Stegostoma tigrinum: one gene and its partners. The protein of the gene in region 3 interacts with the protein of the main gene of each other region in a biochemical or structural test. Links are inferred from orthologs where the notes say so. Each region holds a gene or a part of one and is shown on either strand. Other genes may lie near its edges.

Region 1 (11,132 bases), on a different chromosome or scaffold from region 3:
GTTTCGGGCCTAGACCCTTCATCAGAGAGGGGGATGGGGAGAGGGAACTGGAATAAATAGGGAGAGAGGGGGAGGCGGACCGAAGATGGAGAGTAAAGAAGATAGGTGGAGAGAGTATAGGTGGGGAGGTAGGGAGGGGATAGGTTAGTCTAGGGAAGACGGACAGGTCAAGGAGGTGGGATGAGGTTAGTAGGTAGATGGGGGTGCGGCTTGGGGTGGGAGGAAGGGATGGGTGAGAGGAAAAACCGGTTAGGGAGGCAGAGACAGGTTGGACTGGTTTTGGGATGCAGTGGGTGGGGGGGGGAAGAGCTGGGCTGGTTGTGTGGTGCAGTTGGGGGAGGGGACGAAGTGGGCTGGTTTAGGGATGCAGTTGGGGAAGGGGAGATTTTGAAACTGGTGAAGTCCACATTGATACCATATGGCTGCAGGGTTCCCAGGCGGAATATGAGTTGCCGTTCCTGCAACCTTCGGGTGGCATCATTGTGGCAGTGCAGGAGGCCCATGATGGACATGTCATCTAGAGAATGGGAGGGGGAGTGGAAATGGTTTGCGACTGGGAGGTGCAGTTATTTGTTGCGAACTGAGCGGAGGTGTTCTGCAAAGCGGTCCCCAAGCCTCCGCTTGGTTTCCCCAATGTAGAGGAAGCCGCACCGGGTACAGTGGATGCAGTATACCACATTGGCAGATGTGCAGGTGAACCTCTGCTTTATGTGGAGTGTCATCTTGGGGCCTGGGATAGGGGTGAGGGAGGAGGTGTGGGGACAAGTGTAGCATTTCCTGCGGTTGCAGGGGAAGGTGCCGGGTGTGGTGGGGTTGGAGGGCAGTGTGGAGCGAACAAGGGAGTCACGGAGAGAGTGGTCTCTCCGGAAAGCAGACAGGGGTGGGGATGGAAAAATGTCTTGGGTGGTGGGGTCGGATTGTAAATGGCGGAAGTGTCGGAGGATGATGCGTTGTATCCGGAGGTTGGTAGGGTGGTGTGTGAGAACGAGGGGGATCCTCTTAGGGCGGTTGTGGCGGGGGCGGGGTGTGAGGGATGTGTTGCGGGAAATACGGGAGACGCAGTCAAGGGCGTTCTCGATCACTGTGGGGGGAAAGTTGCGGTCCTTAAAGAACTTGGACATCTGGGATGTGCGGGAGTGGCATGTCTTATCGTGGGAGCAGATGCGGCGGAGGCGGAGGAATTGGGAATAGGGGATGGAATTTTTGCAGGAGGGTGGGTGGGAGGAGGTGTATTCTAGGTAGCTGTGGGAGTCGGTGGGCTTGAAATGGACATCAGTTACAAGCTGGTTGCCTGAGATGGAGACTGAGAGGTCCAGGAAGGTGAGGGATGTGCTGGAGATGGCCCAGGTGAACTCAAGGTTGGGGTGGAAGGTGTTGGTGAAGTGGATGAACTGTTTGAGACAACCCTGGTAATTGTAGACCAGTGAGCCTTACCTCAGTTGTTGGTCAATTGTTGGAAAAGGTTATAAGGGATAGGATTTATAATCATCTAGAAAAGAATAAATTGATTAGGGTTAGTCAGCACGGTTTTGTGAAGGGAAGGTCGTGCCTCACAAACCTTATTGAGTTCTTTGAGAAGGTGACCAAACAGGTAGATGAGAGTAAACCGATTGTGGTGTATATGGATTTCAGCAAGGCGTTCGATAAGGTTCCCCACAGTAGGCTATTGTACAAAATGCGGAAGAATGGGATTGTGGGAGATATAGCAATTTGGATTGGAACTTGGCTTGCTGAAAGAAGACAGAGGGTGGTAGTTGATGGGAAATGTTCATCCTGGAGAGCAGTTACTAGTGGTGTACCGCAAGGGTCGGTGTTGGGTCCACTGCTGTTTGTCATTTTTATAAATCACCTGGATGAGGGCGTAGAAGGATGGGTTAGTAAATTTGCAGACGACACTAAGGTCGGTGGAGTTGTGGATAGTGACGAAGGATGCTGTCGGTTGCAGACAGACATAGATAAGCTGCAGAACTGGCCTGAGAGGTGGCAAATGGAGTTTAATGCAGACAAGTGTGAGGTGATGCACTTTGGTAGGAGTAACCAGAAGGCAAAGTACAGGGCGAATGGTAAGATTCTTAGTGTAGTTGAGCACAGAGATCTTGGTGTTCATGTACACAGATCGTTGAAAGTTGCCACCCTGGTTGACAGGGCTGTTAAGAAGGCATACAGTGTTTTAGCTTTTATTAATAGAGGGATCGAGTTCCAGAACCACGAGGTTATGGTGAAACTGTACAAAACTCTGGTGCGGCCGCACTTGGAGCATTGTGTACAGTTTTGGTCACCGCATTATAAGAAGGATGTGGAAGCTTTGGAAAGGGTGCAGAGGAGATTTACTAGGATGTTGCCCTGGTATGGTGGGAAGGTCTTACAAGGAAAGGCTGAGGGACTTGAGGCTGTTTTCATTAGAGAGAAGAAGGTTGAGAGGTGACTTAATAGAAACATATAAAATAATCAGCGGGTTAGATAGGATGGATAGACAGAGGCTTTTTCCTAGGATGGTGACGGCGAGCACGAGGGGGCATAGCTTTAAATTGAGGGGTGAAAGATATAGGACAGATGTCAGAGGTAGTTTCTTTGCTCAGAGAGTAGTCAGGGAATGGAACGCTTTGCCTGCAACGGTAGTAGATTCTCCAACTTTAGGTATATTTATGTTGTCATTGGATAAACATATGGACGTACATGGAATAGTGTAGGTTAGCTGGGCTTGAGATCAGTATGACAGGTCAGCACAACATCGAGGGCCGAAGGGCCTGTACTGTGCTGTCATGTTCTACGTTCTATGTTAACAATTCCTGTCCCTGCTGTATCCGTGGGTCAGTTTTTGTCCAGTGTGTGCAGGAGAGCTTCCTGACACAGTATGTAGATAGGCCAACAAGGGGCGAAGCCACGTTAGATTTGGTACTGGGTAATGAGCCTGGCCAGGTGTTATTGTATGCCAACTCTCCCTTTCCTGTGAAAACTGTTAACCATGCATTCGCATTATCAGCTTCCTGTCTCCTCTGCAACTTTGGTATTGTTTGTGTCTGTTACACCATGTCAAAATAACCTACACCAAAATTGTGAATGACATCTTCCATGATTTTGGATTTATAGCACCAACATTCTGCATCATATCTGTTTCATGTGGCGTTTGCTGTGCAATATTCCTCTAATATTTCGTCTTAGTTTCCAAATGTGTGTGTTCTTAGTGTAGCTGTTATATTATGACATAGTTCAGTTCTTGGATAAAGTTGCACATTTCCACTTTGAGTTTTCTAAAGTTCAATCCTTGGACCTCTTCTGCTTCTAAGCTTAAAAAGTTGCTTACCCTTGTGTCATTTGTGGCTCTGGCTTCTCTATTATTAAGGTCTGGATTCACCAAGTCACACTTGATTACTTGAACATGATTACGTGGTACTCTAATCCTTCACTGAGGGATGCCTACACATTTGATCATGCTGTTTGTTCCTTCAGATAATAAAACGTGTGACACTACTTGGAAGAAAGGCAGTTATCCTTTTTGTCCACATCACTATGTATTCTTCAGTCAACATAACTTAAAAACGGGTTATCTGTTCATTATCACATTCCTGTTTACACTATCTTGCTGTATATATAATAGCCCACGTTTCCTACATAACTGAAATTCAGAAAAGTGCTTGATTAACTGTAAAGAGCTTTAAACTATCTGGTGATCCTGAAAGGAACCAAATAAATGTACGTTCTTTTCTTCACAATGACATTTTCAGGCATGTGATCAAAACTTAGACTGGACAATTGACTTCATATCTGTCAATTCTGTTCATATTTCAATGACTTATTTAGATCTTGAATGAGTCACACTTTCTATGACCTGAATAGTAGGAATGCCCATGCCGTTGTTTTTGGCATTTGAAGTAAGCTTTGGTGACTTGTCTCTGATTTCATCATTGTTATTGGCCAGAACTCGGAATTGAAAAGAAATCTGCAACTTCAGCATTGTTGTCCACATCCTCAGTATTACTTCTCTCTAAGTTGCTGCGTTACCAAAGCCCTCAAAATATTTTCTACCTCTGCGCATGATTATTTTGACATTTGATTGCCTGAAATGCCATCGTCTATTAACTACAAATTCCTTGTTGTCTCAAGTGCAATAATCTGCGTCCATGTTTGCACAGAGTCCAAATCTCCTATCATCTTATCATCCATATTTTCCAACATTATCTCCTGTCCTGATGCATTTTGTTTATAATTTTGTCCTTGCCTGCAGTGCCGCTCCATTTCTGTATGTGTTAGCTATACAACCTCTAACAGCCATACAGTGCATATTTCAGTGTATCTGTTTCAGCCTCCAATGTGGCTAAATCCCTCAATCTTTGTTTGGTGGCAGGGCTGTCTGTTTCCGCAGGTCATTTCTCAAAGCCATTTCCCCATGTCATTTCTGCACTGTTTTATTTTTCTACCTGCCTTTAAAAGAAATCTAACCCATTCCAACCTGGCTTTCCATCGTCATCTTTCCCCATGTTGAAACAACTGGCAACAGCTTCCTCCTCCTTGGATAGTTTAGACAACTAAAGTTGTTGGTGTGTGAGAAAATATATCTTTGCATAAAGTTGGTCATGCATAAGACAGCCAATTTTAAAAAATCTTCTATTAGTATTGCAGTACTGTATTACCTTCTGCCAGTTTTCCAACAGATATGAGTTATAGTTAACAGTATATCTGTCTTAATTGGCTATTATACTGAACTTTAAATAAAACTGTATTTCTTGAGCTTTCCCCTGACTGAAAATAGATCTTTCATGGCTGTGTTTAAAGCAGCTGTATGTTTTTGCTCACAGAGCAGCTATAAAATTGGATTTAGTGTAATCATTAAATTTGTTTTGGTCTTAGCTTATGGAAGTAGGGTTTTAGAAACCAGCTCTCGTATTTAGACAAGTTACATCAATATTTCACAGATTCTGTAAGCTCTCCAGAGCTTTTGTAATTGCCTTTATATTCTGTCTTTCAAAATATTCTGCTGTCGTGTGATGAGATTTATTGTGGTAAATGGAGGCTGCTTTGGTCAGCTGCATGTGCTTTCCCGCTGGGGTTGCTCCCTTTGATGGAAAAGGAGCAGCTGTGAAGGCACTGTTTCAGACACTTGCTGCCTTTGGGAAAAAAATTTCTGCTGTGCATTGGAAGGGGAGTTGCATCATGTGACTGCTACCACCCTACCCCATGTTATACTGTGTAGTACTACTGATTGCCTTTATCCAATCATGCCTGGAATGCTGCCTGTCACTTGGGCTATTTCTGCTATCTGTCGCTGTCAAGCTTCAGTGCTAACCGTTTGGCAGATGGGACAGTTTTTTCTCGAGCTTACCTCTTTGCTTTCTTTAAATATGCTTTTGGCAGTGTGATTTCCTCTTCTCGTATTTTAAACTGGGCTGTTGGTGTTAAACTATGGCCCATCGACTGCGCCTTTACTTTGGATCAAATAGGAGTCACACTGATCCAGAATCGGAGATGTTAGATGAAGAGAGAGAAAATGACATCTATATGACATTCCACACTTTGCCAAGGAGGAATGCCCCTCATCCTTTCCAGGATATGCCTAGGCCTGTGTCCGATGCTGTGCTGCCTTTACAGGATCAAACCTCCTTGAGTCGCAGCTCTTCCATGTTCATTCCTCAGTTGCACAGTTCTGAGTCACGACCCACCAGGAGTTCCTCGATGCAGATATCGTTGCAGCGCAACCCTATGAATGGATATGGTGATACCAGTGTCTCGGAGTCTCTGGAACAGCCGTTACCAGACTTTGGAATGGAAGTTGGCAACAATGATGGCTTATTTTCTAGGAGCCATTCTCTTCCAAGTGTCCCTCGAAACACAGATGATCCCCCATCCTATAATATGGCTGCATCACAACAGGTTATTGGAAATGTTCCATCTAATTGTACAATAAGCTCTCTTTTTCCTGTGGAACAAAAGCCATGCAGTATTGGTCAAGATGAATTAACAAATGGGTCTCCCTCTGATCTAAAGGTTGGAGATGTACCTGTTCAACACTGCTCGCCAACAGAAATAGATCAAATGCAGTTTTCATCTTTCACTCGTAATGGACGTCCAAAAGCTCATGCCTCTGTAACTAGGCGTTGGTCTTTACAACATCAGCCGTACATGGCGGGGAACATGGGGAAATCTTGTTTTGTCTTCCAGCTCCAGCAACAGTGCAAAGGTGTCCAGGACTCCTGGATGGATTTCAAAAGGGGACGAGCATGCACAAAGGATGAGCAAGCAGCTAGGCATCCACATGTACGACTGGGGCGAAGTGCCTCTGCCACCTTTCCAGTTAAGGGAAATGCTGAGTGTTTTGGTGCTGCTGAGAGAAGGAAGCAACTCGCAGGAACACTAACTGGGGAAAACAATTCAGACATGCTTTGCGGCACTTATGGCACTTTGCCGCAAACACAGTCCTGTAAGTTTAAAATCAGACAGGAGCGAAATCAGAGGCAACCACACTTTCGAATTCTTTTAACCCGAGGATCTGAAGAGCAGAATGAAGGCTCAATAAGGGATAATGGTGGTTGTGTTCAGACAAGAATGAATTCAATCACCGGAGAGGACTCTGTGGTATGTAACCAGTTCAAAAGTGTATCTGTCACTTAGACTGTGTGTGGGGGTGCTATTTTGAGGCTAAAAGTGGGTTGGGTGAGGGGTTGGATTTATGGTGTGGGACCTAAATACAATTGGTTTCAGAGGTGAGACTGCATAAAATGAAGTTCTGACAATGCTATAACTTAAAGATGAATGGTTTCTGGTTTATTTTCTTAAATTGTGGTTTGTCTGTCTGAGGAGTGAATCTGCAGGAGTTGTCTTAATATGTTTCCAAACAAGATGTGTATAGACAAGTAAGCTATGTCACCAGTTTAGAAAGCAGGCTTGAAATCACACAAGTTGGTGTTTAATGCCTTTGTGTGCTCTTTTGAAATATGGCGTAGAAACAGGTTTCCTCCCTCAAGTATAAATCTGCACCACACAACAAATTTGTTTGTGTTTTTCAGTTTGGTAGAAGAAACTGAAAGAAGCATTTTTGTTATGAACTGTTTAAATAGTTTGCAGCTGGAAGTTGGCTGAATGTAAAGCACCAAGCATATTCTCTCTTTTCCCATCGTTTGTGTTTACTGTGTCTGATGGAAGACATGACTTATGGTCTGTCTTAGCAGGTGTCATACTTTTACTTGAGACGAATAAGAGAATTAATTTTACTGTCTACTGGCTCTGGCCCAGAGACAATTTGGGGCTGCAGATGTTCCTTCCGCTATTCCTGTAAAAGAAAAAATGAAACGAAAATATTATTTGAGCGATGTTTTTCCCTTTGCAAGTTCATAAAAAGCAAAGTTGAACAGGGTGTATATCAGGCATGCAATTCAATCCCCCAGTTCACACTCAGTGAATTCAGTTAAACTTAAGTTTTGTAGTGCTCAGTGGCAAGCACTTAGAAAAAATGGAAACAATATGAACTAAAGCAAAAAAGTCAAGGAAGAGAGATTTTGTGTCCAGAGGACGCTCATAGTCCTAACTCAATTAAATTGAATTAATAGTCATTACATAATCTTAATTCTGTGAATGTTTGATCTTTTAAAAATAGTATTTTGTACTTCTACTTCTGTCTAGTCACATGTATTACGGGCACAGTCCGTTTGTGCTGTTGTGTAACCCTCCTTTCTTAACTGGAAGCTAATGTGTTGGATCAGCTTGAGATTCTGTTAGGAGCCATCTAAATCCAGCAGAGGAAACATTGCCAGAGGAAACACTTCTGCATGGCCAATCAACAACATGCCTTCCAGATCCTGGAGTCTCCAACGTTGCGCATAAGCTAATAAAAACTTACAGCTCCTATTGGAACAGTGGAGTTATGTGTGAAACATGACTGCCTCTCCATAAGCAGCAGAACTGCTGCTGATCCAGAACAAAGGAGAGATGAACATAGTTTCAAGGCTTAAAAAGAGTAGCACTACATTGTGTATTCTTTGAAGTGCAAATTGAAACGTATTTCATACAGAGTATACTCCCCAGCCGTGCCAGCCCGCTGCCAAAACGTTTCATCTTCAAAATGCTCCAGAACGGCCTTTCTTAGCTTGTCAAATATGTGATGGAAGCAAGTATTTAATTCACAGTCAAAAATTTGTGAACAAGTACAATGTACACTTTAAAGAATATTTAAAAGCTGAATTACAGAGTGATTGAGTCACAGAGATATACAGCATGGAAATAGACCCTTTGGGCCAACTCAACCATACTGACCAGATATACTAAATCTAGTCCCAATTGCCTGCATTTGGCCTATATCCCTCTAAACCTTTCCCGCACGTGTACCCATCCAGATACCTTTTAATTGTTGTAATTGTACCAGCCTCCACCACTTCCACTGGCAGCTCATTCTATATATGCAACACTATCTGTGTAAAAAAAAAGTTGCCTCTTAGGCCCCTTTTATATCTTTCTCCTCTCACCTTCAACCTATGCCCTCTAATTTTGGTCTCCCCCACTCTGGAGAAAAGTCCTTGCCTATTTACTCTATCCATGCCTATCATTTTATAAATCTTTGAGATTTCCCCCTCAGCCTCCGACACTCTCAAGAAAATAGCCCCAGCCTACTCAGCCTCCTCCTATAGCTCAAACTTTCCAACCCTTTCAATGTCCTCGTAAAACTTTTCTGAACTCTTTCTAGTTTCACAACATCCTTCCTTTAGGAGGGGGACCAGAAGTGAATGCAGTGCTCCAAAAGTGGCTGAACTAATGTCCTGTACAGCCACAACATGACCTCCCAACTCTGTACTCAGTGCACTATCAACCTGTGACCTATAAGTAACATGCAACTCATCCACTTGGCAAAAAAAACAGCCAAAGCAGTGCAGTTGCTAGAAATCAGAAACTGAAACAGAAATTGCTGTTGAAACACATCTGGCCACATCTGTGGAGAGAAATATTTCAAGCCCAGTGACCCTTCAGGGAGTCCTGTGGTCCTGGGTGAATTAAAATCATGAAAGATGAAACTTCATTTGGAATCCACTTAACGTTAGTCTGAGCTGGAGACAGTCACTAAGGAATGTGATGTGGCTGTGGAAATGATTTTTGGACAATACCTTGTGAAAAATCAGTACTGCAACGAAAGTAGTAACGGTGACCCAGAAAAAGGATTAGAATGGAAATCTTGAAGGAGAGAGGCGCAGAACTTCTTTAAGCTGGACACTTCTGGAAGAGATGTGGCAACAAGTTAAAACACTAAACACAAAAACTCAAAGCTTGAGGATGCTTGAAATCAGAAACCAAAACAGTAATTGTTAGAAAAACTCAGCAGGTCTGGCAGCATCTGTGGTGAGAAATCAGAGTCACCATTTTGGATCCCAGTGGCTCTTCTTCAGGGTCCCTCAGATTTGTGACTGTTTCCATGGTGAGTGAGCACAGCACAAACTCGTGGAGGTGAGTTTGGGTTCCGGTGGTGCCTGTTTCCAGTGCAGATTCATCGAGGTGGCAGCGGAGGTGGGTTTGGGCCCAGTTCAAGACCTGGCTGTGCCAGCAGCAGTTATATCAGAAACTTGGGCCTGAAGTGGACTCATGGTGATGGCGAAGTTGAGTTTGGACTGTGCAGTAGCCAGTGACATTGGTGGCACCTGCTATGCCGAGGTCCAGCGAGGACTCATAGTGCTGAGGATGTTGGAGGTGAGATGGTGCTGAAAATTGGCAACCTTTATTCTAGTGGCCATGGTGTGGTGCGGCCGTCCGTCTGACGAAGGGCCTAGACCCAAAACGTCAGCTTTTGTGCTCCTGAGATGCTGCTTGGCCTGCTTCATCCAGCTTCACACTTTGTTATCTTGGATTCTCCAGCATCTGCAGTTCCCATTATCACTCATCATTAAAACTTGTTTTTCTGAGTGTAAACAAAAGCCTATGACAGGTCTGTTCTTTAAGTTCTGGCCTGTTTTACATCCCTGACTTTGACTGACTTCTGGTGGTTGTGTTTTCAACCTGGGCCTCAAACACTGGCAGTATCCGTGCTAAACATCTCACTACTTAAGAGGCATTGTTGGTGGGAGATGGTGTCTACACAGCATTAACCTCAGTCTCTGGATCACTGGGAAAGTGATGCAGAAAGTGAGGTTAATGCTGTGTGGACATGGGTGCAGGTCCCATCGTGCTAAATTAGAGAATTGCAGAGTGATTTTGGCATTCATACCCACTTAGAAAAGACCATAAGATGCACCAGCAGAAGGAGGCCATTTCAGCTCATCAAGTCTGCTCCGTCTTTCAATGAGAATCCAAACTCCATTTTCCAACCTTTTCAATGTGATCCTTGATTCCCTTGCTGATGAGAAATCTATCCACCTCTGCCTTGAATATAAGTAATGACCTAGCCTCAGCAGCCTGAGAGAACTTGGGAAATAAACAATCAAGTCTTGAAAAGAGTCCACCTTACAGAAGAGGTGGTGGTGTTGGAGGTCTTAAAATACATGAAGGTAAATAAATCCCTGGGACATGATTGGGTGTGTCCCAATACATTGTTGGAAGTTAGGGAAGTGATTGTTGGGATATTTGTATCATCAGCAGCCACGGGTGAAGTGCCAGAAGACTGTGAGCGGTGGATAAGGTTGTGGCATTACTTAAAGTCTGTACAAAAAGGCAGGAAACTAAAGACTGGTGAGCCTGATGTCAGTGATAGGAGGGCATTCTGAGAGGCAGGCTGTGTATGCATTTGGAAAAGCAAGAACTGGTCAGCGATAGCATGGCCTTATGCATCGGAAATTGTATCTCAGTTTTTTTGAAGAAGTGACTGAGAAGTTAGATTGCAGAGTGGTAGATGTCTGCATGGACTTTAGCAAGGCTTTTGACATGGTTCCACATGGCAGACTAGTTAGTAAGTTCAGATCACGTAGGATTCAGGGAGAGCTTGTCAATTGGATTCAAAATTGACTTGACGGTAGGAGACAGAGCATTTGTGCTTCGGACTGAAGGCCTTTGATTAGCAGTGTGTGGTAAGGATTGGTGCTGGGCCCACTGCAGCTTGTAATTTATATAAACTATTTGGATGAGAATATAAGATGTATCGTTAGGAAGTTTGTGGATGACACCAAAATGTTGGTATAGTGGACAGGGAGAAAGTTATCCATAAGCACAACAGCATCTTGATCAAG
Region 2 (11,132 bases), on a different chromosome or scaffold from region 3:
CGAGGGGCTTTCGGTACTGTTGTATGTGGCGCAGGCCTGGCCTATTCCCTGGACCTGCGCCGCTGCAGTCACCCGGGCCATCTTCCACTTCATTTGGGGGTCGAGGATGGACCGGGTCCGCAGGGAAACCATGTACAAAGACCTGGAAAATGGGGGAAAGGGCGTACCAAATGCCACCCTCGCCCTGACGGCTACCTTTGTGCGCGGCTGCATCAAGCTGTGCGTAGATCCTCAGTACGCAAACACCGAGTGTCACTATTTACTGAGATTCTACCTGTCCCCGGTGTTGCGAAGGATGGGCCTGGCCTCGTTGCCGCGGAATGCTCCGAGTAGTTGGACGGTTCCCTACCACCTGTCCTTCATGGAGAAATTTTTGAAAGGAAACACCTTTGACCACAAGGCCGTCAGGCAGTGGTCAGCACGTGGTATCCTCGAGATCCTTCGGGAAAAGGAGAGGGTGGATCCTGTCATGTGGTACCCCACGCAGACTGACAAAGTTGTTTGGCAGAATGCCTCATCACCAGAACTTTCAAACAAGCACAAGGACATTGCTTGGGTGGCAGTGAGAGGGGCTCTGCCAGTGAGATCCTTTATGCATGCCCGGAATCTCTGCGCCACCACACGCTGCCCTCAAGGTGGCTGCGGGGGGGGAAGAGACTGTCGATCACCTACTTCTGGAATGTGCCTATGCGCAGGAGGTCTGGAGGGGGATGCAGTGGTATTTGTCGAGGTTCGTCCCGAGCAGCTCCGTGACGCGGGACTCCGTGCTCTACTGGCTGTTTCCCGGGACGCACACCAAGACCAACATCAACTGCGCCTGGAGGACCATCAATGCGGTGAAAGACGCTCTTTGGTCTGCCCGCTGAAAGAACTGACCCTGACCGAATGTTGCAGACTGGCGCACTCCAAGGTCCAGGACTACGTGCTGAGGGACACGCTAAAGCTTAGGGCAGCCGCTGCCAAGGCACGGTGGGGAAAGACCACGGTATGAAACCCCTCGTCCAGAACAGAAAAAAGGGCCCTATCTGGTAACTGGGCCCAGCTGGCGCCTTCCCCAACTGGTCAGGGGGCCAAGTGGGACTGTGCGGGGTGACGACTGCCGGGGTATTTTCTTTGCTTTGTTTTTTTCTTCTTTGTTTGTTTTTTTCCTTTAGTTGGTGTACGTACCCCCTGGGTAATCCGGAGCGGCTTGCATGACTGGGTAGATGTATAAATGTTTTATTTTTTGTACATCTTAGGAATAAAGTATATTTTTTCAAATAAAAAAAGTGACGAAACGTCTGAAAACTAACCTTCCAGTTCAGCGAGCAAACTCACATCCAGAACCTCAACCTGAGCTACAAATCTTCTCAAAACTCGCTAACAAAAAGGAACAAAATTTCTCACCCATCCAAAGTTTAGAAGGTGAGAACTGAAAGCTTATACGTACAAAATAAAAATCATACTGGCGTTAACTCCTAAAGGTTCCAAAAACCAGTAGTACAACTGGTGAAAAGTCACTCAACCTGAACCGTGAGTTCTGTTTCTCTCCTTGATACTGTCTGACCTGCTGAGTGCTTTCAGCAGTTTTTGTTTTCTATTTCAGATTTCCACCACCTGCGGGAGCTTGCTTTTATTCTGCGATACCTACCTCTCCTGACATTTCAAGAACCTCTTCAGATGGTCCATGGTGATTGGCAGTGCCATTCTGCAAACGTTCAAGGAGCTCCAGCAAAGCAAAATTTTTCTTTAAGCCCCAGACACCTGAATCACCTGTCAAATGAATTAATATTCAGCCTTTGTCAAATCTTCTGATAATAGTGTAGAATAAAACATCCCTTAAGTCATTGAAAGTGTTTTGGACTGGGAAGAAAAACTGCAGTTATAGTCTAATAATGAAATGAAACTAGGTCCATTCAGGTGAAGATGATCTTGAAAATGCTGAGAGAAAGAAAACCTATACAAGCATGAACAATGGCAAGTTCATCATAACTACAAAAATGGTCTCAACTTGCCAACAAAGACTTATTCAAAGCAGCAAGCACCTTTTTGTCTCATACAACTTACTTCAATCCTGTATGGTAAACTTTTCTAGTGTAACATTTAAAGGAATGATGCATTTATATTGTGCCTCTAAACCCTATGACACTCCAAAGCATTTTATAGTCAATGAAATACTTTTGAAGAAGTGTATAATCATAGTTGTAAATGCAGGAAATGCTGTAGTTAACTTACATACAGCAAACTCCATAAACAATAATGTAGTAATGACCAGTTTATCTGTCATGGTGATATTGGTTGTCAGTAAATATTAGCCAGCACAATTGGCCAGCATTCCTTTGTTCCTCCTCAAGTAATATAGTGTGATTAAACGTCAACAGCTTCCATTACAAAGGACCAAGTTTACTGCCATGACAGCAGTACAACTTCTCAAGACGTCTCAACTGACAGTAAGCGTATTCTTTCCTTTCCATCATACAATGTCAGTCCCACCATTCTTCTGTAGTTTTGCCTGCCAATTACTATTCTGCAATGTTTTATTTAGAGCCTAACTAACCATAGCATAATGTCACCATATTAGGAGTATCTGGCAATTTGTTGTAGCAGAGTTAGGTAATGTTCAATTAAATTTGCATACTGATGTAAACTTGACAATCTGTAAAAAATAAATCATAAAAATTTTAAACTGAAGCATATGGTATGATATCTAAAAATATTCAAAAATAATTAGAAACATAAATTTCCAGACCAACCTAATTCAGTCACCTGTCGGTCAAATGGACAACGTATTGCTCTCCCCTGTAGTGGAAGCCGGGTGAGACAATCGTGGCAGACTGTGTGACCACAAAGGAGCAAGCGAGGTACTTTGTCTCCCTGCAGAGAGAATACGTCTTCACAAACTCCACATTCCAGAACCTAAAAATGAAAAGACTCAGAAGGGTAAATGCACTACATGATATACCACAGAAGTAAACCAACCAAAAATAATTCCCAGATGCTGGATTGCTAGTTTTAGGGGAAGCTGCAGTGGATTCCCTTTCAGGACTCCCATTCAATTTTTATTCAATAATCTATACCGAAAGCTCACATTGAACTGTTGGAGAAGGAAAGCAGCTTTTTTTATTATTGTCAACATAATCAAAAGGTCAAACAAACAGTCCTATTCTCCCTAGAGCTCTTTGCTGGAGTGTGAATTTCAGCATCATTGGCTGTCCTCAGTACTGTGACCCAAGTGTTGGCTATTTATTCAAGAGTTTGACAATGAATGTTGAAAGACTATTCAACCAAACATGCTGGGTATGGAAAGTCTAAGTTATAAAGAAAGGCTGGGACCTTTTTTCCCACTGGAGCACAGGCAGTTGAGAGGTAAACTTATGGACGTAATGAGAGGTATACGTAAAGTTAATGGCAGGCGTCTTTTCCCCAGGATGCAGGATTTCAAAACTAGGGATCATAATTTTAAGGTTAGAACAGAGAGATTCACATCAGACATGGGGCAGTTTTTTTTCTGCACAGACGGGTGATTCATGTGTGGAATGAGTTTCCTGCAGAAGTGGTGGACGTCAGTGCAGTTATAAAATTTAAAAGATACTTACATAACTACACGAATATGAAAGGTTTGGAGTGTTATCGCCCAGGAGCAGGCAGCTGGGACTAGTTTAATTTGGGATTATGTTCAGCACGGATGGTTGGACCGAAGGGTCCATTTCGCTGCTATATAACATAACAACATCACAACCAAACTCAATGACATTTTCACTTCACCTCAACCTGGTAAGTGAAAGTGTGATCTGGAGTGAAAAGAAATTGACTGACATCAGTACTTCTGGGTTAGGCAGGGGGAAATTTTAATACTACTACTTTTATTCCAACTAGCCTTTCCTGACACTGGATAGTCCCAAAGCCACTCAGTTTTTAACATTCCAAGTAAAGTGGCTATCTTTAAACTGCCGTCAAAATATTACTGTCTTAGTCACCAATTTTGTTACAATTTCTCTGTAATTTTTTTTATTTCCAAAGTAGTTCTCTATTTCACTTATTATAGAAACACTAAAAATAATCAATGAAGACATGCTGCAAATTATATATTATAAACGTATAAAATAAACCAGCAATCCTCAACTACATACAGCTTTTGCTGAATTACGTTGTAGCTTCAGAATGAAAATTACAAATGGAAATTTTTTAAAATTTAAATATTAGACCTTTCATTAATATAGCTTGTCTAAAACATTTTAAAAAAACTGACTTTTGTATATTTATGAGATAATACATGTCTAGTCTACGATAGATGATTCCATCAATAACATTAGCTGAAACTTAGTTTTGTTGTGCACAAAACTGGATAAATCATCAACAAATGTTGGGTTTAAGAATAAATATTTTTAAGTCTCTCTTTTTAAGATACCATAGAACGAAAGTATTTTTCAGGAGAATACTTATTGGAATGTCAGCGCTTGGAAAACAGTACATAAATTTATGAATTTGGCATGTCAAATTCCAATTTTCTCATGTGAGATAATGCATTATCACGTGCACAAGGCAAAACATCAACACAGTGGTGATGTCACAGGATGACCAAAATGCCTGTGCAACTACAAAAAGATAAACTTTCCTCTTTATCCATCATGACCTTTCACACCCTTTGGTATAATTGACATCATTATCCTCTTTCACTTTGATGGAGCAAAACCAGCATGGTTCCATTCTTGCGTATCCATGCAAAGCCAGAGAATCAACTACAATGTTTTCTATTCCATTCCATTATTTGGGATGCCCAAAGCTCCATCATTGCCCTCATCTGTTTCACATCTACAAACTCTTTCTTGACAACATCAAATGGAAACTTCACGTTTATGCTGATACTGCCTGCTCCACGTCTCTTGGTCCCCTCTGTGGGTATGTTCAACATGTCAGATGAGCAGCAGTTGAAATATTGAGAAGAGTGCAGCCATCATCTTTAGTCCCTACACAAACTCCTTTCCTTGCCATCAACCCCATCCTTTTTGCTCGTCCAAGATTAAAACAGATGCTTCACAATCTACTTTACCTAGAGATGGTTTTTGAATGCATCCTTTACCACCTGTTCCCTCCCCAGTGACAATGCTCAATCTGCCCTTATTTCAGTTCATCAGTTATCAGTTTGTTTTATCAGTAAACTCAAAAATGTTACATTTGGTTCTCTCAGCCAAGTCATATATATAATGTTGTGAACAGCTGGTGCCCAAACAGATTATGCCATTGACTTGTTACTTGGAAAAACTGAGGAGACAACAGGCAAATTACTCACTGCAAAATGCCAAGCCTCTGACATCAGCAATGACATTACATATCAAGAGGCAATGGTTAATTTTTTTTGTTGGAAATGGTCCTTACCTTGCATTTGTCTCACACCAAACATTACGTATTATTTATCGAGCCAAGCCTACACAGGCAATAATCAGAGAATATTCCCACCTCTGACCTCATGATTGAGCCAAGATCATTGATAAAGCAGCTGAAGATGAGTCAATTTATCACATTATCCCAAGGAACTGGAATGGTTCTTGATGCACTGTAGTACTGTCTCTACCTCTAGGTCATAAAGCCTGGGTTCAAATCCCGCCACCAGTGTGTCTGAAAGGTTGGTTGAAAATATTTACCCTCAGGAACTTGGCTCCTGTGGTAAAGTGGTAGTGGTCCTATCTCTGAACAGGTTGCTTAGAAAATATCCAGCCCGAGGAATAAAACATTGGAGCAGGAGTAGACCATTCAGTAAGGCCATTGAACTCAAAATTCTAATCCCTAACCATTGATCCCGTTAGCCACAACAGCATATTTACCTCCTTCTTGAAAATAAAATGTTTTAGCTTCAACCACTTTCTGTGGTAGTGAATTCCACAGGCTCGCCACTCTCTGGGGTGAAGAAATTCCTCATCTCAGCCCTTAAAGGTTTGCCTCTTATCCATAAAGAACTCCAGACCCCTGGTTCTGGAGTTCTCGTCATCAAGAATACCTTTCCTGCACCTATCTTGCTTAGTGATGTTCTTGAACTGAGATGATTGGCTTCTTAACAACTCCAACTACCTTCCTTTATTCTCGGGGTGACTCCTACGAGTGGAGAGTCTTCTGGTCCCCACTGACAAGTGCTGCACACAACGCTATTCTATTGCTTTGCTAACAATCTACAATAAACTGAGTGAGTGATGTTTGACTGGGTTGATTTGGATTTGTCCAGTGTTTTTGAGTACGCAGAAGCCATGTAGAGGACGGGGGGGCAGGGGGCAGGGAGACCAGGCCTGAAAACTAGCCACAGATCGAGCCCAGTCTGAAACTGGCCCGAATGCTTCGTTTTTGGGGGGGCGCACTCACCTTGACCGAGCAGCCGTTGACGGCACGCAGACTGCGAGAGCCACTGTCAGGCCCAGGCCCAAGTCCTGGCCCCAGCGGTGTCAGCAACAACTTCAACGGAGCCGCCGCCATTGTGGATCACACCAGCTCCCAAACCGCGAAAAAGGGGGGGGGATCATTAATATCTTAAATCGGTAAAATCGTAATAATCCCAGGTGAAATCACAAAAAAGCGTTATATTACGAAGCGATTAATAAACATCAAATTTATGTGTAGCTAATCAATTCTTCTGAAACTTATGCGTTGGTCTAATTTTTGTCTAAATCAAATGTCCTTCTTCTTGTCCATTATGGTGTTGTCCGGATGGTGCCGTGCGATATACTGCGCATGCTCACATTGAGACAAGTGGAAGGCCATATTTGGGACAAGACGTTGGCAACGGAGCAATGCTTTGACAGTAGGAAAGGCTTTTCGGTTCGATATCTGGGTAGCGTTCGTTATTCTTCAAAAGAAAATGTATTTTACCAGGTTGATACCAGAAGTGGGAAGAACACGGAAACCACCTGTAAAGGAGATTGTATGTCAACCGGGAAAGACGAGAGTTTAACCTAGTGAAAGAAGAACGAAGTAATGGGAGTTGATCAGACGGCTCATCAACACAAATGAGTTCAACAGAATAATTAGGCTTGAGGACAGACACGTCTTCATTTCGTTCACATATAGTTAATCTTCCAGAAAGAAACCTCTTTCATACCAGCTAATTGCTATCTTAACGTACCCACTCTTCTCCACGAGTCTGCACCCATGTATTCTGTATACAGAAGAAATAATTGTCATCTCTAAAATCGGTTTTTATAATAATTAATTGTGGTTACTTAACATTTAATGTAATTAAACATTCTAAGTGAACACAATTAATTGTAAAAGCTAATTTTAGAAATGATATTTAATGCAATTAAACATTCCAAAGCGTTTCACTGGAGTACGGCTTATTTCCAATCATACTTCCACAGTTTGAAGTAATATTTATCTTAATTTTGCAAAGCCCAGATCTAGCCTCTTTCCACACCAATAACCTTTTTCACATATTTCAGACACCCGGCAGCAGAGATCAACTTCACCACTGCATACTTTCTGCACTTCAGTTATGTGTTGGTGAGCAAAACAAGACTATTTGAATACATGCAGAAACTGTGGTGTACCTACACTAGATAGGCTGCGGTGGTTCAGGAATACAGCTCCTCACCACCTTCTAAAGCAAATTAAAGAGAGACACAACAAATGCTGGCCTGCAGTGACAATCATTTCTCAATGACAATTTTTTAAAAAAAGTTTATCAATCATCATATTTTTGGCATCCCCATTACTTCGTTTTTGCATTGCTCATATTGACCAGAAAGAGCAGTTTTATCACTATTTCTCCTGATGTATTAGCTAGTCGCTATGTAGTTCAACATTCTAACATTTATTTGCTTGCTGTATACACAGATTGTACATGCTTAATTTTCAGTCAGTTTGGGTTGTGGCATTCTTAAGATCATAAGATGTAAAAGCAGAAGTGGATCATTCAGCCCGTTGAATCTATTCCACTATTCAATGAAATCGTGGCTGATCTGATAATCCTCAACTCCACTTCCCTGCCTTTAACTCCTAGGCCTTGATTAAAAATCTCTCTATCTCATCCTTGAATGAACTTAATTACCTAGCCTTGACAGCTTTCTACAGTAAAGAATTCCACAAATTCACTACCCATTGGAGAGAAGAAATTCCTCCTCATTTCTATCTTAAAAGAGGCAACCCTTTGTTCGGAGATTATGCCCTATAGTCCTCGACTGTCCTATAAGGAGAACCAACCTTTCCACATCTAACCTGTCAAGTCCCCTAACCTCCAAGTTTCAAGATGGCACTAACACCGGGCTACCTTTTGCAAGCTCTCTGCAACAGATCTTATTCTCACAGTTCTTATAAGTGTTTAGTGCTTTTACACTGAAATTCTAAGTCTGTAAAAATTATTAAATGTTCTCTGAGATCTGCTTACAGGTCTGATGCAAATAATGTTGATCTCGCTTTGTGCATCTCCTGTGCAGCCATAACCTTGAATGCCTTGCTCTGTCTAGGTGCCCTATAATGCTTGCTTGCTATGATCTGCCTGTACTGTTCACAAAACAAAACTTTTCACTGCCCTTAGGGACATGGGACTACAATAAATCAAATCAAAGACTCTAGTCTATTTCAATAAGTAGAATGAGTATAGGCCCAACCCACTAGATCTCTCCTCATCAGACAGCCCCTTTCCACTTTTTAACATAATTCGTCTTGCAAACAGAAGTTTGCAGTTGTCAGCACTATATCTGATCTGTGATTGATCATCTCACATATATATTTTGTCCAAATGACTTTCTTTTGCTATTTCTATCCTGTTACACTGCTTCTCCTGGCTAAGTGTTCTGTTAAATCTGCAGCAAATGCCGAACATTTCTTTACTCAAATGATAACTAACATATGGAATAATTTACCAGCTAATTTATTATTGTCATACATAGTGATAGGGTTGCAGAGAGGAGCTTGGCAGTGCATGATGTCTACAAAATGCACAGAGTTAGCCAGGCTGATATAGCATGCCTAGCCAAACAGCTCAAAAGGTTAAATTAAGCTGCCTACAGAATAGCCAATTTTTAATAGAACTTTATTTGCTTCTACTGTCCATCACATTTATTTTTGGAACAGTCAATGTTTGAAAACCCAATCGTGCAGATAAGTACTCACTTTAAAAATAGCCTTTGTGGGTGAATTGGGTTTGTTTTCCTATATCCTTTCAATGATCTTACTCAAAATAATGAAAACAGATAAGCATTATTTATAGACACATGCAGGATTTCTATTTTTGTACTTCCGTAGGAACTGTGGTCTTTAGTTTTAATCATGTAACAAACTTAGATATCACAGAGTGCTGATGTAAGTATCTGTTGGGTATATTTGATTGTGATAACTAGTTAAATAGATTTGTTCCTTGTATATTATGTATCTGTTTTGATCTAATCTGAACAAATAATAGTGGATTATCTCTTATATAGTGCAGATAAGTGAGATTGACTGATACAACTTAATGTCATTTTACCAAGGAATTCCTCAAAACTTTATACCTGCAAACCTGTTAGGTATACTGTTACTGAAGATTGGTTGACTTCTGTTACAAATTTTGTAGTATTGTGATTGAGGTGTAATTTGAGGCAAATCACAAAGTGAAACCTGACTTGATGGACTATGAGTTTTATTTCTCATTGTTTATCTTGTAGTTCAATCACTGAACATACCCCCAGAGATTGAATATATACTTTCAATAGAAAAACATAAACCTGTATTAAGCAAAAGAAAAACAAACAAATTATGTTACAGAACACAATAATTATTAAGAACAAAGTCCAATATAGCACAAAAACAGGCCCTTTGGCCCCCCCAAACCTGCGCCGATACAATTTGCCTTTCCATATTAAAACTGTTTCCTCTGTATCCCTCTACTACCTTTCTTTTCATGTATTTGTCCAAGTGCTTCTTGAATGTTTACGTGTTGTCTGCTTACACCACTTTCTCTGGTAGTGCATTCCAGGCACTCGCCACCCTTTGTGTGAAAAATGTGCCTTGCACATCTCCTTTAAACTCCATCTCCCCACACCCACTTTGCACCTTGAACCTGTGTCCCCTACTAATTGATCCCTCCACGCTGAGAAAAAGCCTCATACTTCCCACTCTATCCATGCCATTCATAATCTTATAAACTTCCATCAGGTCGCCCCTCAACATCCTGTATTTCAGTGAAAACAAACCCAGTCTATCCAACCTTTCTTCATAGCTAAAATCTCCCATACCAGGCATCATCCTGATAAACCTTTTCAGTACCCTCTCCAAAGCATCCACATCCTTCTGGTAGTGTGGTGACCAGACTGTATGCAATATTCCAAGTGTGGCCTAACTAAAATTCTATAAAGCTGCAGCATAAGTTGTCTACCATTACATTCAGTATCCCTTCCAATGAAGGCAAGCATGCCAGAAGCCTTTTTTACTAACTTATCTATCTGCACTGCCAGCTTCAGTACCACCTTCACATCTTTCTAAACTCTGCCTACATAATCTCTCCTCTATCTCCCACTGGCTGTTGGGAGGCCTGTATTATACCCCCAGCATTGTGATTTCATCTTTGCTATTCCCAATTTCTGTCCATTCTGCCTTGCTGCATGAATCCTCTGATGTATCCTCCCTCAGTATAGCTGTATGAGATACTCCTTCACCAATAATGCAACTCTCCCAACCCCTTTACATTCCTTTCTATCTCACCTGCAACATCCAAATCCTGGGACATTCGGCTGAGTCCTGTCCCTCTTTCAGCCAAGTCTGCATGATGGCAATAGTGTCATAGTCTCAAGTACTAACCAATCATCTGAGTTCATCCACTTTGCCAATTGTATTTCCTGCATTGAAACACATACATTTCACACACTACCTTCCCTGCTCTTTTCAACAGCATTTCTCTGCCTGTTCCTTATCATGTTTGCCCTGGTTACTACCTCTGTCTCAATTTCTGCATTTACTGCCCTACTGGTCTGGTTCCCATTCCCCTGGCCACATTATTTTAAACCTTCCCCAACCACTCTTCCAAGTGCCTCCTAAAACATCAGTTCCGGTCCTGCCCAGGTGTAACCCATTCAGTTCATACAGGTGCCACCTCCCCAGAACTGGTCCCAATGCCCCATGAATCTGAAACCCTCCCCCTCACACCATCTTTTCAGCCATTTGTTCATCCTTTATATCTTGCTGTTTCTAGTCTG
Region 3 (3,600 bases):
CACTATTATGGCCAAAGCTAGTATGCCTATGTTGTACATTCATTCACTCCAGTGCATTTCAAACATTATTCAAAATTTCTTAGTTATAACTCAAGCTTTGTGCAGTATTTCAGTAATTTTGAGATTCTGTCACCCATTTATTCACAGCTTATGCTATCACATGGATTGATTAAGTTACAGGTTTTAAACTCACTTATCCATTTACTATCTCATTAGAGAGAAAACATACACAATTTGTGATGGAATACCAACAGCGCAGAGTACATCACATGCCAATATCATTTCTGAAATCTAATTAATACCCGAAAACTTATTTCTGGACTCGAAGTTCATGGAGTTGTTCCAATTGTCTCCTTCATAAAACACAAGAATTTTCATGTGCAACATAACTGTAGGCTCTATCTTGGGCAAATATACAAACGAATCAATGACTAATATCCAAGAAGGGTGGTGTTTTAAATAAATGCTCAAGTTATAAGCGAAGTGAAAGAGTTTCTCGAACAGGAAGTGATCCAACTAAGTGGAAATGACTTTTAAATGTTTTTCACAACATAGGTACTGAGTGCCATTTTTGTTCTCATTAAGAAAACAAGAACGAACTACAACCCAGAAGACATCATAACTGCAAATCTCATTTTGTCCTAAAATGTGACAACATCCCAATCACTATCTCACATTTTGTACACTAATTAATTGTAGGCAGACCTTATTCTGGTCTTGCAAAAGCAGTTAAAAAAAATTTAAGGAGTTTTGTTTTGAAAAGAAAAGGTGAGGCTTAAAATTGTCCACTGGATAGGAACTTGTCACCATCTTATCAGCACTGATTAAAATCATTTAAAGTCAAATTACTCGCATTTGCGGTGTCTGTGAAGGACATAACATTTACTTATCAAAAATGAGCACGTCTATTACATACACAACCAGAACACTTCAGTAACCCCAGTACCTCCCCCCCCCCAAAAAATCACAATTGTGAAACAGCCCAAATGCAGATGGACAAGAATCTTCCAGGAAGTTTAGTACTGATGGGAATCCCCTCAACGTGGAGGAAATTTTCAAGCTTCCAAACTGAAACTTATTAGAGAAACTTCAGTTTAAAGTACTGACGTTTAACTTCTATTTGATTCTGCAAATAGAAAATTGGCCTGAATCCCAATTTCTGTTTCAATACAACAATCACTACTCTTTTAACTCATTAACCAGATTTTTAAAATAAAACAAAAATCGCACGCCCAGTTATCATCGCCCTTTTAACGCAGATATTAAAGCAGACCATTTATTTTATGAGAAATAACTAACCTGCAGTTCGGTGGTGGATCCAACGTGATGTCAGCCAGCTCCTTCTGGATTCTGTCAAACATAAAACATTGACCATTTTAAAAACTCACGGCATAACTAAGAATGCCACATTCCCAACACATTCTCCGAAATTTCACGACTTCAAAAAGTTAGGGAAATAAAATAAAGCAAAGACGTTGACCCTCAGCCTGTACGAGAAAGCGAGAGGGGGGGAAAAACATGGCCGCCTCTCACAGCTCCAAGAAGCTAATACAGTGAAAAATTTCCAACTCGATTGCCGCACTCCTCCGGCGAGCAGAGTCCGCACAAGCCGGCCCAGTGGAAAGTAGTTGGCGTCAGAAATGCAAACCCGGGGCAATGGAGTCAGAACTCGGCCCTGTTTTTTTGTACAAAATGATCTTAGCTAATATGCAAATGAGCCTCTGGTGTTAAAGAAGTCTGGCGTGTCGCGGGTGAGAGAAAGGAGGAAACCCCGGAGGGTGGGGGGAAGGGGGAAGGGGAAGAGAAGCAAAGCAGGAGCCCCATGATCTCTCCCCCCCCCCCCCCCCCCCCACCCCAGACCAACGGCCGGAGCTCGTGCCCACCCCCCCGCCATCCGCACTCACCTCTTGGCGCTGGTGGTGAGCAGTTTGGGGTTCTTGCTCATGGTGTTGTTCTTCGCTTCTCTTTTCCTCTTGCTCCCTCCGCCGCTACCACCCCCGCCGCCGCCGTTGTTATCGCTGCTGCCGCCGCCGGTGATGCTGTCGTTGTTGTTTCTCGTCTCTTTCTCAGCTGCTTGTGAAGAACTTGAAGACGAGGAGGAGCTGGTGCTGGCCCTCGAGTCGTCATCCGACATCTCCACCGCTGGCTCGCTGTCACACACTGACTGCGTTGAAGCACGACAGTGTCTCACTCTCTGCTCCCCTCCCACCTCCCAAACAAACACACAACACACCGACAACAACGGAAAAGATGGAGAATCAAGACATAGAACTTAACATAATTAAAAAGGAAAGCGGACACCTGAAGAGATAAGAGTATAGAGAGAGGTGAGGATACAATGTCAGTAAGAGTGAGTCACAGTGTATCTGATGTAGTGTAACACTCACAGCAACAACGCACTGACTGACACTCACTCACCGAGCAATATCCCGTCATCGGCTGCGCACTATCAGCTGGAGCTGCTCCAGCTCTGGAGTGATTGAGGGGACTATCCTCACAACAATAACAAAACAGACAGGATGCCACACTTTGTACAATCTGTGGAAAAAAACAAGTGTTGCACCATATGGACTTGAAGAATGAACCTGCTGTCAGATGTTGACTTTTGTATTTGTTATACTTTTCGCTGTGTGTTTCTGTCCTCCTTTTACTTTATTTTCCCTCTTTGTTGGATTCTTTTTACACTTTTGCTTCTCTGGTAATCTGGACAGCGATTGTCGCCGACCTGCCGGTTGCCAGGGCTGGTACAATGTCAGACGCGTGTCTCACTCGGACAGGGAAAGGAACGGAAGTAGACCAACCACAAATGCAGGGAGGAGACAGGGCTTCTTTGGGATTGTTACAAGGTCTGGTAACTACATAGAAAGTTGTACTCACACACTTCTAGGCACATTGTTTGTCTATTTTCGGATTAATTGACTTGGTTCATTAGGTTTCACTGACATTTTTATTCTATTGCTCATGAACTTTGTATTTAAACACTTAAATGTTTTTAAAAGACAACACGGATAATTTGTTGAATGAAGTGAAGACGTTTTCAGACATGTTTGATATTCCAAGGAAGTTTAGTTTTTTTTTCCTTTCTTGTCTAAAAACTCTTGATGTGGTCTTTCAGGATCTCAAAGACACCCAAACCACTCGATCAATCGAAGTAGTTTATAACGTATGAAATGGCGGTTGCCAATTTACAAACTGCAGGGCAATATTAACCAGATAATTTGTTTGCAATATGTTGGTGAAGGGACAACATTCATTAGGATACTAGAGGGAATACTCATTCTCTTCTTCGAAATTGACATAAGCAAAATTATAGTACTGATAAATGTAATAAACCTAAAAACAATGCCAAATGCTCCAGACTAAGTGACTTTCATCCCATGGTTTTGCAGGAAGGAGAGAATCCTTAATGCCCAAACTCTGTTCCCCTCTCATTCTCGCAACTGAACAATTCATGTAGATTGGGAAAACTCCAGACCACTTGGTTATTTAAGAAAGGAAACCCAAGCATGTGAACCAATTTGTGAAACTTTTAAAGTCTATATTAAAAGTAGAGAGTAACTGAGCACCTTAAACTTTCAGCGAATCAGAATGGGCCAACTT

Evidence for each region.
Region 1: the proteins of ubiquitin-conjugating enzyme E2 E1 (region 3) and nedd4l form a complex in vitro, tested with the Homo sapiens proteins (2 studies listed by BioGRID). The link is inferred for Stegostoma tigrinum from reciprocal best matches to the Homo sapiens genes UBE2E1 and NEDD4L.
Region 2: the proteins of ubiquitin-conjugating enzyme E2 E1 (region 3) and trim23 form a complex in vitro, tested with the Homo sapiens proteins (4 studies listed by BioGRID, with this or other methods). The link is inferred for Stegostoma tigrinum from reciprocal best matches to the Homo sapiens genes UBE2E1 and TRIM23.

What each region holds. Positions count from the first base shown.
Region 1 is NC_081354.1:152,022,447-152,033,578, reverse strand, and holds the start of nedd4l (E3 ubiquitin-protein ligase NEDD4-like), read left to right. Parts: upstream 1-5,938; 5' UTR 5,939-6,030; coding exon 6,031-6,570; intron 6,571-11,132. UniProt on the Homo sapiens protein: E3 ubiquitin-protein ligase that mediates the polyubiquitination of lysine and cysteine residues on target proteins and is thereby implicated in the regulation of various signaling pathways including autophagy, innate immunity or DNA repair.
Region 2 is NC_081354.1:117,893,242-117,904,373, reverse strand, and holds the start of trim23 (E3 ubiquitin-protein ligase TRIM23), read right to left. Parts: upstream 6,684-11,132; 5' UTR 6,442-6,683; coding exon 6,331-6,441; intron 2,896-6,330; coding exon 2,733-2,895; intron 1,753-2,732; coding exon 1,631-1,752; intron 1-1,630.
Region 3 is NC_081355.1:64,890,467-64,894,066, forward strand, and holds the start of ubiquitin-conjugating enzyme E2 E1, read right to left. Parts: upstream 2,754-3,600; 5' UTR 2,135-2,753; coding exon 1,905-2,134; intron 1,351-1,904; coding exon 1,300-1,350; intron 1-1,299. UniProt on the Homo sapiens protein: Accepts ubiquitin from the E1 complex and catalyzes its covalent attachment to other proteins. Catalyzes the covalent attachment of ISG15 to other proteins. Mediates the selective degradation of short-lived and abnormal proteins.